3 linked regions of the Callithrix jacchus genome follow. The protein of the gene in region 3 interacts with the protein of the main gene of each other region in a biochemical or structural test. Links are inferred from orthologs where the notes say so. Each region holds a gene or a part of one and is shown on either strand. Other genes may lie near its edges.

The links.
Region 1: the proteins of LRRK1 (region 3) and BAG1 form a complex in vitro, tested with the Homo sapiens proteins (2 studies listed by BioGRID and IntAct, with this or other methods). The link is inferred for Callithrix jacchus from reciprocal best matches to the Homo sapiens genes LRRK1 and BAG1.
Region 2: the proteins of LRRK1 (region 3) and BAG3 form a complex in vitro, tested with the Homo sapiens proteins (2 studies listed by BioGRID and IntAct, with this or other methods). The link is inferred for Callithrix jacchus from reciprocal best matches to the Homo sapiens genes LRRK1 and BAG3.

The regions. Positions count from the first base shown.
Region 1 is NC_133502.1:140,450,008-140,453,662, reverse strand, and holds part of BAG1 (BAG family molecular chaperone regulator 1), read left to right. Parts: intron 1-927; coding exon 928-1,010; intron 1,011-3,046; coding exon 3,047-3,160; intron 3,161-3,655. UniProt on the Homo sapiens protein: Co-chaperone for HSP70 and HSC70 chaperone proteins. Acts as a nucleotide-exchange factor (NEF) promoting the release of ADP from the HSP70 and HSC70 proteins thereby triggering client/substrate protein release.
Region 2 is NC_133513.1:113,172,168-113,175,922, forward strand, and holds the start of BAG3 (BAG family molecular chaperone regulator 3), read right to left. Parts: upstream 2,804-3,755; 5' UTR 2,490-2,803; coding exon 2,310-2,489; intron 2,238-2,309; exon of another isoform or gene 1-2,237. UniProt on the Homo sapiens protein: Co-chaperone and adapter protein that connects different classes of molecular chaperones including heat shock proteins 70 (HSP70s), e.g. HSPA1A/HSP70 or HSPA8/HSC70, and small heat shock proteins (sHSPs), e.g. HSPB8.
Region 3 is NC_133507.1:8,916,981-8,919,335, forward strand, and holds the end of LRRK1 (leucine-rich repeat serine/threonine-protein kinase 1), read right to left. Parts: coding exon of another isoform or gene 2,300-2,355; exon of another isoform or gene 2,095-2,299; intron 1,786-2,094; coding exon 1,323-1,785; 3' UTR 571-1,322; downstream 1-570.

The DNA.
Region 1 (3,655 bases), on a different chromosome or scaffold from region 3:
CTCCCGAAGTGCTGGGATTACAGGCGTGAGCCACCACACCTGGCCAAGAATCCATTATTCTGGTATCCACTGGGGAAAGACTTATCCCATTGGATATCAGTCATTATAAAGAATTTAGTAATAGGAGGCATTTTTACTTATATTTCATAGTGTAACTTATTGTCTTTAATTTTTAAAAATATTTTGTTTCTGAATTGACAATAGAAATTCGTGTTTCAAAATAGAGAAAAGCATGAGGAAGAAAATGTTCCCATGGATAAAACCCCTTATAATAACACTGTGTCATCAGCATTCATTGTGGCCTTGAAGTTTCCTGCAAAAAATGAGCTTTAATGCCTACAAAGTCTTTTTTGTTTTTTGCTTTTTGTTTTTTTGAGATGGAGTCTTGTTCTGTTATCCAGGCTGGAGTGCAGTGGTGCGATCTCGGCTCATTGCAACCTCCACCTCCCAGGTCCTCAGCCTCCCAATTAGCTGGGACTATAGGTGCATGGCACCACACCTGGCTAATTTTTGTATTTTTAGTAGAGATGGGGTTTTGCCATGTTGGCTAGGCTATTCTTGAACTCCTGACCTCAGGTGATCTGCCCACCTCAGCCTCCCAAAGTGCTGGGATTACAGGTGTGAGCTACCGCCAAAGGCTTCTGTAGCGTGGTTCATCAGCCCCTGGTTCCTGAATATTTGGCTCTTTCTAGTTTCTTGTGAAAAGGTTGCATGGAATATTATTGTATAGTAGTTACTGTACAGATGCATGTCCAATTATTTGTTTAGGATAAATATCTAGAGCTGAAATTACTGGGTCAAGATACCTTCTAAAAAGATACCAATTTTTATTAGTGAACACACGTCTATTTCCTGTGTTCTTGCTGAAGTTTATTTTTAGTGTTGTACAATTATTACAACTTGGCCTACCTTTCTCTTTTTTTTTAGGAAAATCTCTGAAGGAAATGGAGACACCACTGTCAGCACTTGGAATACAAGACGGTTGCCGGGTCATGTTAATTGGGAAAAAGGTAAATTGCTTTTTCCATCAGAAATCCTCAGAATCAAATGACTAAAGTCTTTTATACATGTTTCTGTTTAGAAGACCAAATTTGGGACCCAGATTCTGCATTGATAAAACACCTCTCTAAACAAATACAACCTTTATTTCTTTTATAGGATTACCAATTTTGTTCTCATACCCTCCTGCTCCTGTTGGTTAGACCTTTTGCTCTAGAAATTAGGAGCAATTGTGCTGCCTTAAATATGTTTTTTGTTTTGGTGGTGGAATCTCGGACTGGTTAAAATGGTGCCTGGGAGAGGCCTCATTCGCTTGGAGTAGAATTTGCAAGATACCTTTTGTTAAAATAAACTTGTAGATATTAAGAATAATTACTCTGTGACAATTCAGGAGCCTCTTTCCCTTTAACCAACCTTTTAACTAAAATCTCCCACAAGGAAAAACCTTTGACTGGAAAGAGAGGTTCAGATTAAAGAACTGAGGGGAAAAAAAGAGTCAGTTGGTTACAGATGAAGTCAGCAACCCTTAAGGTGATGAGAGAGGGCTGGCACATTGTGACATAGCAGAATTATTGAGCATATGAAGTTCCCTTATTTTGAGTGAGATAACTGAGTAGAGAGAGGGCAGAGATTAGTAAAGTGAAAACAAAGAAAATCTAGACTTAGAACTGCCAGGAGACTGGAACTCAGGACTTAGCTACAATGAGGAAAGAATAATTTGGGATACTGTAACTAAACAGACAGCTGCTAGACCTAGCTACCAATTGTTCGCGTGAGAGAAGGGGGAAATATTTTAAATTTCTTGTTTTAGGGTCAGGAAGAATGGTGATGGGCAATAGGCAGAACTGAAGGGTCAAGTTTGAAGAAACTATAGGACTTTTACTTGGAACTGACAAAGAGGGTATGGAGTGAAGTGTGAACTCAGGGAGGGCACCATGGCACATGTCTATGGTCCAGCAACTCGGGAGTCTGAGACAGGAGGGTCACCTGAGTCCAGGGCTTTGAGGCTGCAGTGAGCTATGATCATGCCTTTAAATAGCCACTGCACTCCAACCTGGGTACCAGACTAAGACCCTATCTCAAAAAAAAAAAAAAGTCTAAACTTAAGTCTACTCTACCTCTTTTGGACTGTGTGATACCATCTTTACTGCATTAAGCCTCAGTTTCACCATCTGTAAAACAGCAGTACCTCCCTGATAGGGTTGTGGTAAGGCTTAAAAAAAGTAGTATGGTAATATGCTTAGGATAGTGTGTGTCATGTAGGGAGTATTCAGTAAAAGTATTCATCATTGTTAACCAACATCATATTAAAGAGGAGAGCTCAATTGGAGCCTGCCGTTTAGGAATTCCATTTAAAGGAATAGTAGAATTCTGCCTGTCTTGCCATTCTGGACTCCTCACAAGTGTTCACTGAAATGTGTTTGCTCTCCAGGCTTCAGTCCCGGTTGTTGATCAGACTAGGACTGAGACTAAATCTGGCATTTGGATTGTCTCCATTCTCAGCACCCAAGCTGTCAGGGCCCTCACCAGAATGTTTACCTAATACCTTCTCTCTTGGAGTCTTTGTAGATGGAAAACTTGATCTATTACCCTTTGACTTGCTTTCCAAGAAGCAACAGAGTTCAAACCATTCTTTCTAGGTGAGTGGTTTCATGCAGTTGTGGTCAGATATTTTTCCTGACAGAGGCTAGTATTCTTGTTGATTGCTTTTTCTTTTTCTTTTCTTTTTTTTTTTTCTTTCTTTCTTTTTTCTCTTTTTGAGACAGAATCTTGCTCTATTGCCCAGGCTGGAGTGGAGGTTCGTGATCTTGGCTCACTACAACTTCCACCTCCCAGGTTCAAGCCGTTCTCCTGCCTCCGCCTCCCAAGTAGCTGGGACTACAGGTGCACACCACCACGTCCAGCTAATTTTTGTATTTTTTAGTGGAGATGGTGTTTCACCATGTTGGCCAGGCTGGTCTCGAATTCCTGACCTCAAATGATCTGCACACAAAGTCTCACCTGTTCTTGTTGACTGTTGACTTTATTTTCTTCTTAAACATTTTAGAACAGTCCAGAGGAAGAAGCTGAACTAAAGAAGTTGAAACATTGGGAGAAGTCTGTGGAGAAGATAGCTGACCAGCTGGAAGAGTTGAGTAAAGAGCTTACTGGAATCCAGCAGGTAACTCTCTTCATGGACCTTGACTTTGTGCCTTCTGTCAGAGCTTCCTAGATATACCTTATAGTTATGGGGACAGGCTCTGCCGTCAGACTCCCTAGGTTCAGATCCTGGATCCGCCCTTTCTCTTACTGTGAACAAGTTTATCTTTGTCTCAAGTTCCTCATCTGTGAAAATGGAATAATAGTGGCATTTCCCTCTTAGGATTGTTGGGGGGATTAAATATTGTAGATTGAGCTTGATACATACTAAGTGCTTTATAAGCATTTATTGTCATAGTTATTGCCAAACCCCAGCCAGCATCCATCTGTGCTCACAGGAGAGCACCTGGCATGCTAGGATTATATATTGTCTAAAGTAGAACAAGTAGCTTCTCCCTGTCTGGGCTGTTGTAGTCTGTTTGGCAAGGCAAAGAACATTTTGCTGATTCATAGAAGGTCCAAGTTGAACATGATAGTGGGGTTGGGAGAGTCATCCTATTCAATTCTTTATATTAGA
Region 2 (3,755 bases), on a different chromosome or scaffold from region 3:
CCTGCCTCAGCCTCCCGAGTAGCTGGGACTACAGGCACACGCCACCATGCCCAGCTAATTTTTGTATTTTTAGTAGAGACGGGGTTTCACCATGTTGACCAGGATGGTCTTGATCTCTTGACCTCGTGATCCACCCGCCTCGGCCTCCCAAAGTGCTGGGATTATAGGCGTGAGCCACTGCCTCCAGCCCGAGAATTCTCTTCTTGAGTTGATCATGTCCCATCATCAAAATCCAAGCAATCACAGCACAGAGGTCAGTGACCCAATAACTTGGTGGCCAGGAGGGCACAAAGGTAATCAAGTATTTTAGCCTGCATGCTTCACGGTTTCACAAAACATTCACTTCCACCTTCTGAACAGACACACTGCCTCTTATGAGGACTCTCCTGACATCAGTACTCTCCCTGCTATCGGTACTAGCTGGGTGACCTTCAAAAATCACACCTGAACTCTCCAGGTTTTTTCAGAAAATAAAGAAGCCTACCTAAAAGATCTTCAAGGACCTTTCAACTTTAACATTTTCACTGTGAAATTTTCAAATAAACCTTTCCAGCATCAGACTTCTGATTTAGTAGTTCTTACTTTCTATTTGTTGAGAAGAATAATGGTAACTAAACCTGCTTTTTTCCTTTTAAGGTTTAGGAAACCACAGCCTAACCCAGGCACCAGGTGGGTACAGGAAGATCTCAACTTGCTGGGTAAGTTTCATGCTGAGAACAAAGTACTGACAATGTTTACATTCAAACTTAATCTTCACTCATAACAAAGGCTGCCAGCAAATGCTACTGTCCCTATGTCTACAGGAAGAAGCCCTCAAAATAATAGTTGTAAACCACACTAAAGATCATGTACATCCACGCAGACTGCTAAGAAAGGGGGTTTGAAATGAGCGTCAGTTTCACCCAAAAATGGGTTGGACACCCAAAAAGGTATATTTAACTGTGCCCATCCCAGCTAATTACAGCCTCTTATATTAATTTTCAAGAATAAATATACAATTAATCTCTCGTAAATGTAAACTGCTGACTGTACACCATCTCACTGTTGGGAACCAGAGTTTTGTCAATATTGTTAAAACAGAACGTGTATAAAAATGAAGGGAAATAATATGGGTCTTTCTTCTAAAATCATGAGATACAAAGCATTTTTAATTTGCTGAGTTTTTAAATCTTCAAAATAATTTATCACCTCTTTTGCTGCTTCTATCTTGCCCAGACAGCAGTCACAATTACGTTTTAAGTATAACATAATTATTTTTAAAACCTTTTTATTTTGAAAGCTCAAATTTACAGAAAATGGAAAGAATAGTATAAGTATGATTTTTGAAAATTAACAGACTCATTCCAAACTTATGTTTTCAAATTTCATGCTCTTGGGGATTAAAAAGTATATATCCTTGCATATATGTAAATGAGACATACTTCTGCTATATTCACAAGAGTATCATTACTCAGTTATTTGTGTACTGGTAACAAATCCTAAGTATTTTAATACCATAACAAGGCAGGAAGCGAATGCCATTATAAACATACACATTATCGTTCTCTTTCTCTCCAGGGTGAGGCAATGTGGTAATGCAATGGCCAACTGTAAGACAGTCTCCCGTCTAGTTTAGAAACTGCTGGGGAGAAATGCACCCCGTTTTTAATTTTACAAGTGATAATAGGATACATACAGATCCAAAGCACTTTCAAACAATAATACAATTTTAATTTGACACACACACACACACACAGGCATAAATGTTTTGACACCAGCTTCCTGAGTCATTGGGTGCCTCAGATGGGACAGTAGTGAAGACATCCCTCAACCAAGTTAGGGAACTTGAGAGGTAAAAATCCCCCAAAACCACCATCCAAGCTTGTGTCTCCCTCGCGTTCGTGGACAGCGGGGTGCGCCGCGGGTCCCGGGCCCGGAGGCCAAGCGGGCAGCAGGGACTGCGGCCTCCGGAGCCGACCAAGCCGGCTGCCCTCCTCCAAGCTCGGGAGGGCTAGGCCAGCGCCGGACACCCGGCCCTCCGTCCTGGAGTCGAGCCGCGGACGGCACAGGGGCCACTGCGGGGACGGTTCCCGGGCCACCGGATCCCGGGGCCTCCTTTGGCCCGGACGCCTGTCAAGGGCGGGTCGGGAGCAGGGACTCGTCCGGGAGCCGCGGGAATGTGTGGCTGGGCGCGGAGCCGGTGTCCGCCTGAGAGGGGCCTTCGCCGACCCCCGGGCCCCGCTTCTCGCGTCCCACCCGCCCGGCCCCCTTCCCGCCGCCCGCCGTCGAGGTGGCGCCATCGACCAGGGCGGGCCGCGGGCCCGGCTCACCTTGGGGCCCTCGGGGGGCACGCGCGGGTCGTTCCACGTCGTGGTGCGGCTGTTGTGGTCCACGAAGAAGGGCCAGCCGGTCTGCGGGTCGATCTTGATCTCCCAGCCGGGGGGCAGGGGGTCGCGGTCACCGTTGCCGGACGCCACCTGCATCATGGGCGAGTGGGTGGCGGCGCTCATGCTGGGTAGGGGTTGGGGTCGGCCCGGAGCGGGGGCCGCCGGGGCGCGGGTGCGGAACGCGGGCTCCGGGCGCCGAGTCTCTGGCCTGGCCGCCGCCGCGGGCCCCTCTCCGCCGCCGACGTGTCCGGGAAGCCGGCGCCGGGCACCTTTATGAATTAAAGGCGGGGGTGACGTGGCCTGAGAGGGGTGGAAGTGTCTGGAAATAGCCTCCTCGCTGCTAGAGGAGAAGGAGGAGATAAAGGGAGGTAGCAACTGGCCGGCTAGAAACTTCTAGTCCCGTCCAGAGAAGTTGGCCGCGGCCCGGGGTTGGATGCGGAGCTCCGCCCTGAGTCATCGGCTATAATCGCGGCGGGCGGGGGCGGGGCCTCGGCCCTCTCGTTCGTCCCCGACCTCCCCGCCCTCCCCCGCCTCCCTCCGCCCCTCCCCGAGCCTCCTAGTGCGCGTGCCCCGGCCGGAGTGGCCGCGGGCGCGCCTTCGGGGCCTGACTGCGGATGGGACGCCGGACGCACTGAGTTGGGGTCGTCCTCCGTGCGCCCTGGGCGGGTTTCGGCTTTCACACTCCCTCCCTCCCTCTCCTTAGCGCCTAGTGAGTTTTCCCTGGGCCGGAGCCGGTCCTCCCCGTGCCTGCCGCCCCTCCTTTCTGTACAAACAAAGCCATCTCACCCACCCCATCCCCTCCCCCATATATGACAGCCCGGGACACTGAGGGCTGCCTGGGAGGAGCGCGGGGACGCTCATCTGACACTAGCAGGAAGGCAGGGAGAAAATGGAAGTCAGTGCAAACTCACTTGCCTTTCTTTGGAAACTTCAAGGAAAAAAAGATTGTGTCAGCTGATGGTTTTTAGTCTCCCAGACTAAAAAGAAAGTTTCGTTGTAGTAAACAGCTTTACAGAAAAATCACATTCTCTTGGGTTTGGATCTTTTTTATAGTAGAGGTTGGTTCTTGCTATCCTACATCTTGACCCTCATTTGGGAAGTAAAGACCTAACCTAACCGTGACATTTTTTCGCTTGGTTCATTGAATGGAGGTTGCACTTGTAACCTGCCAAAGGAGAAAATGACAACATTTTTAATTTAAAGATCTTTTTGTTTGTTTTTATTTGTTAACTTTTATTGTTAGTTTAAAGATCTTAACTGATTTTGTGATTCTAGAATTGGGCAACACCTCCATTAAATTAGAATAAGTGTTCCTAAAAGCCGAGCAGAAGAGGTTGGTTTTATAGACAGAGAAGGGCTGAAGAAAACAGAAACAAAGAACCAAGGCTG
Region 3 (2,355 bases):
CAGGCACACACCACCACGCCCAGCTAATTTTGTATTTTCAGTAGATGTGGTGTTTCACCATGTTGGCCAGGCTGGTCTGGAACTCCTGACCTCGTGGTCCACCCACCTCGGCTGGGACTCTGTGCCTTTATGCCAAAGACAGCCAGGGAGGTTCTGGTTCAGCCAGGAGCATGGAGTCAGATGGACAGGATTGTTAGGGGACCCAGCCCTTCCCCAGGACCTGTCCTCCATGGAGTCAGACACCCACATAGGAATGCAGACAGAGGGGTACACCCCATTACCTCTGGAGACCAAGGCCAAGAGGCACCTGTAGGACTCAGGACAGAGGCCCTTCCCAGCCTACCTCCCTCCATCATGAGGCACGCACACAACTCAGGGTGCAGAGAGGAAGGTGTGCGATCAGAATAAACGGTTCCCTCCTCTATGCTAGCCCTCAGCTCTCCCTGCAAGAGGAGACCAGTGTCTGCCACGTCTGTGGGTGTCCTGTGGAATATTTTCCCTGTGCATACACGTGGAACTCTACAGTGTCTTTTACACACATGGTAACTCAATACACACTGCACTGCAAGCTGCTTTCAAAAAAATGCATTTATTATATCTTGGAGAACATTCCAGACCAGCGCAGTTAGCACTGCCTGCCTCTGACAGGCTGCAGAGTACCGTATTGTTGTACATGCAGGAATTTTATGACTTCCCTCCTGATAGAGGTTCGGGTTGCTTCCTGTTTGGGGCCATATTCTAAGAGATGCTTGTTCTTAGAATCAACATCCTTGTTCTGTATCCCTGGGCCCCTTTATAAATAGTTAGGAACGAATACTTAAGTGGACCTGCTGGGTCAGAGGGTATGTGCATTTGAAACTTGGGTAGATAAGGCCAAAATGCCCTCCAAGGGGTAGCCCCAACTTCCAACTACCCCCTTGTTAATCCATCCTCCATTCAGCAAAGTGATTTGTAAAGATGATTACATGTAATAATCCTGCTTAAAACTGCCAGGAGCTTCAGTGGGGACCCACACTTGCAATTCTGTGCGAACAGGGCCATGCTTCCTCCCCTCCTTCAAGGCTTCAGCCACGCCAGGCTTTCCTGTCCCTCCCACACAGTGGCTTGATCCTACAACAGGGCCTTTGCACGTGCAAGGTCCTTGCACCTAGTGCCCTCAGTTTTCAGTCTCATATTGTACCTCCTGGTGCAGGGTGCAAGCCTCCCAGCCTCAGTTAAATGTAGCAGCCCGAGGCCAAGCCCCCAGGTCCCCCACTGGGTGGTCCAGCTGGCTGCTCTACTATTGTGCTTGGGTGCTTATTGTCAACTCCTCCTGTGAGCTCCTAGAAGTAGAGATTCGGCCAGGCACAGTGGCTCACACTTGTAATCCCAACACTTTGGGAGGCCGAGACGGGAGGATCATCTGAAGTCAAGAGTTCGAGACCAGCCTGGCTAACATGGTAAAAATTAGCCAGGTGTGGTGGCACGTGCCTGTAGTCCCAGTTACTCGGGAAGCTGAGGCAGACAGGAGAATCGCTCGAACCTGGGAGGCAGAGGTTGCCGTGAGCTGAGACCATGGTGTCATTGCAATCCAGCCTGGGTGACAGAGCAAGACTGTGTCTCAAAAACAAAAACAAACATGCAAAAAAACCCCACAAAGATTCTTGTCTGTGTGTCCAGTGACAGTGCCTGACACTTAGTAGGTATTCAAGAAGGAGTTGCTGGCCGGTTAATCTCTGCCAATCCGAGGGTGGTAAGTGACATTTTACTGCTGTCTTCAAGTCTTCAGGTCTGTTTCCTTGCTGTCTGGTGAGGTCAAGCATTGATGTTTAAGGGTCTGTTTCTTTGTAATTCAATTGCTGCCCATGCCCTTAACCTGTTTGCCTTTTGGGTTTTCTATTTCTTATTGAGTTTATGTTCTCTCTAATAAAGGTAAGTGAGCTCTTGGTCTCTCATTTGTGTTGCAAATATTTTTTTCTTCCTCAATCGATACTTTCAAGCTTTGGACTAATTTTTCCATGTAAGTTTCAGTTTCATGGAGTCGAGTTCATTAGTCATTTCCTGTATGATTTTTTTTAAGAGTTGGGTCTTGCTGTGTCACCCAGGCTAGAAAGCTGGTGTGATCATAGCTCACTGCAACCTCCAGCTCCCGAGCTCCGTGGATCCTCCTGCCTTGGCTCCTGGGTAGCTGGGACTGGAGGCCCATACGATTTCTAAGTGTGGTGTGAAGAGATCCCTTCCCCTGGCTCTGTGAGGCCCGGGGCTGGGCTTTTCCTGGAGTAGGAGAGGGCGAGTTTGGTGCCTACAAAGCAGTGTGGCTTCAGGTGATGCCAAGTACAAGCTTGGGACGTGGGGCAGACAGAATCTGGCTTGCAT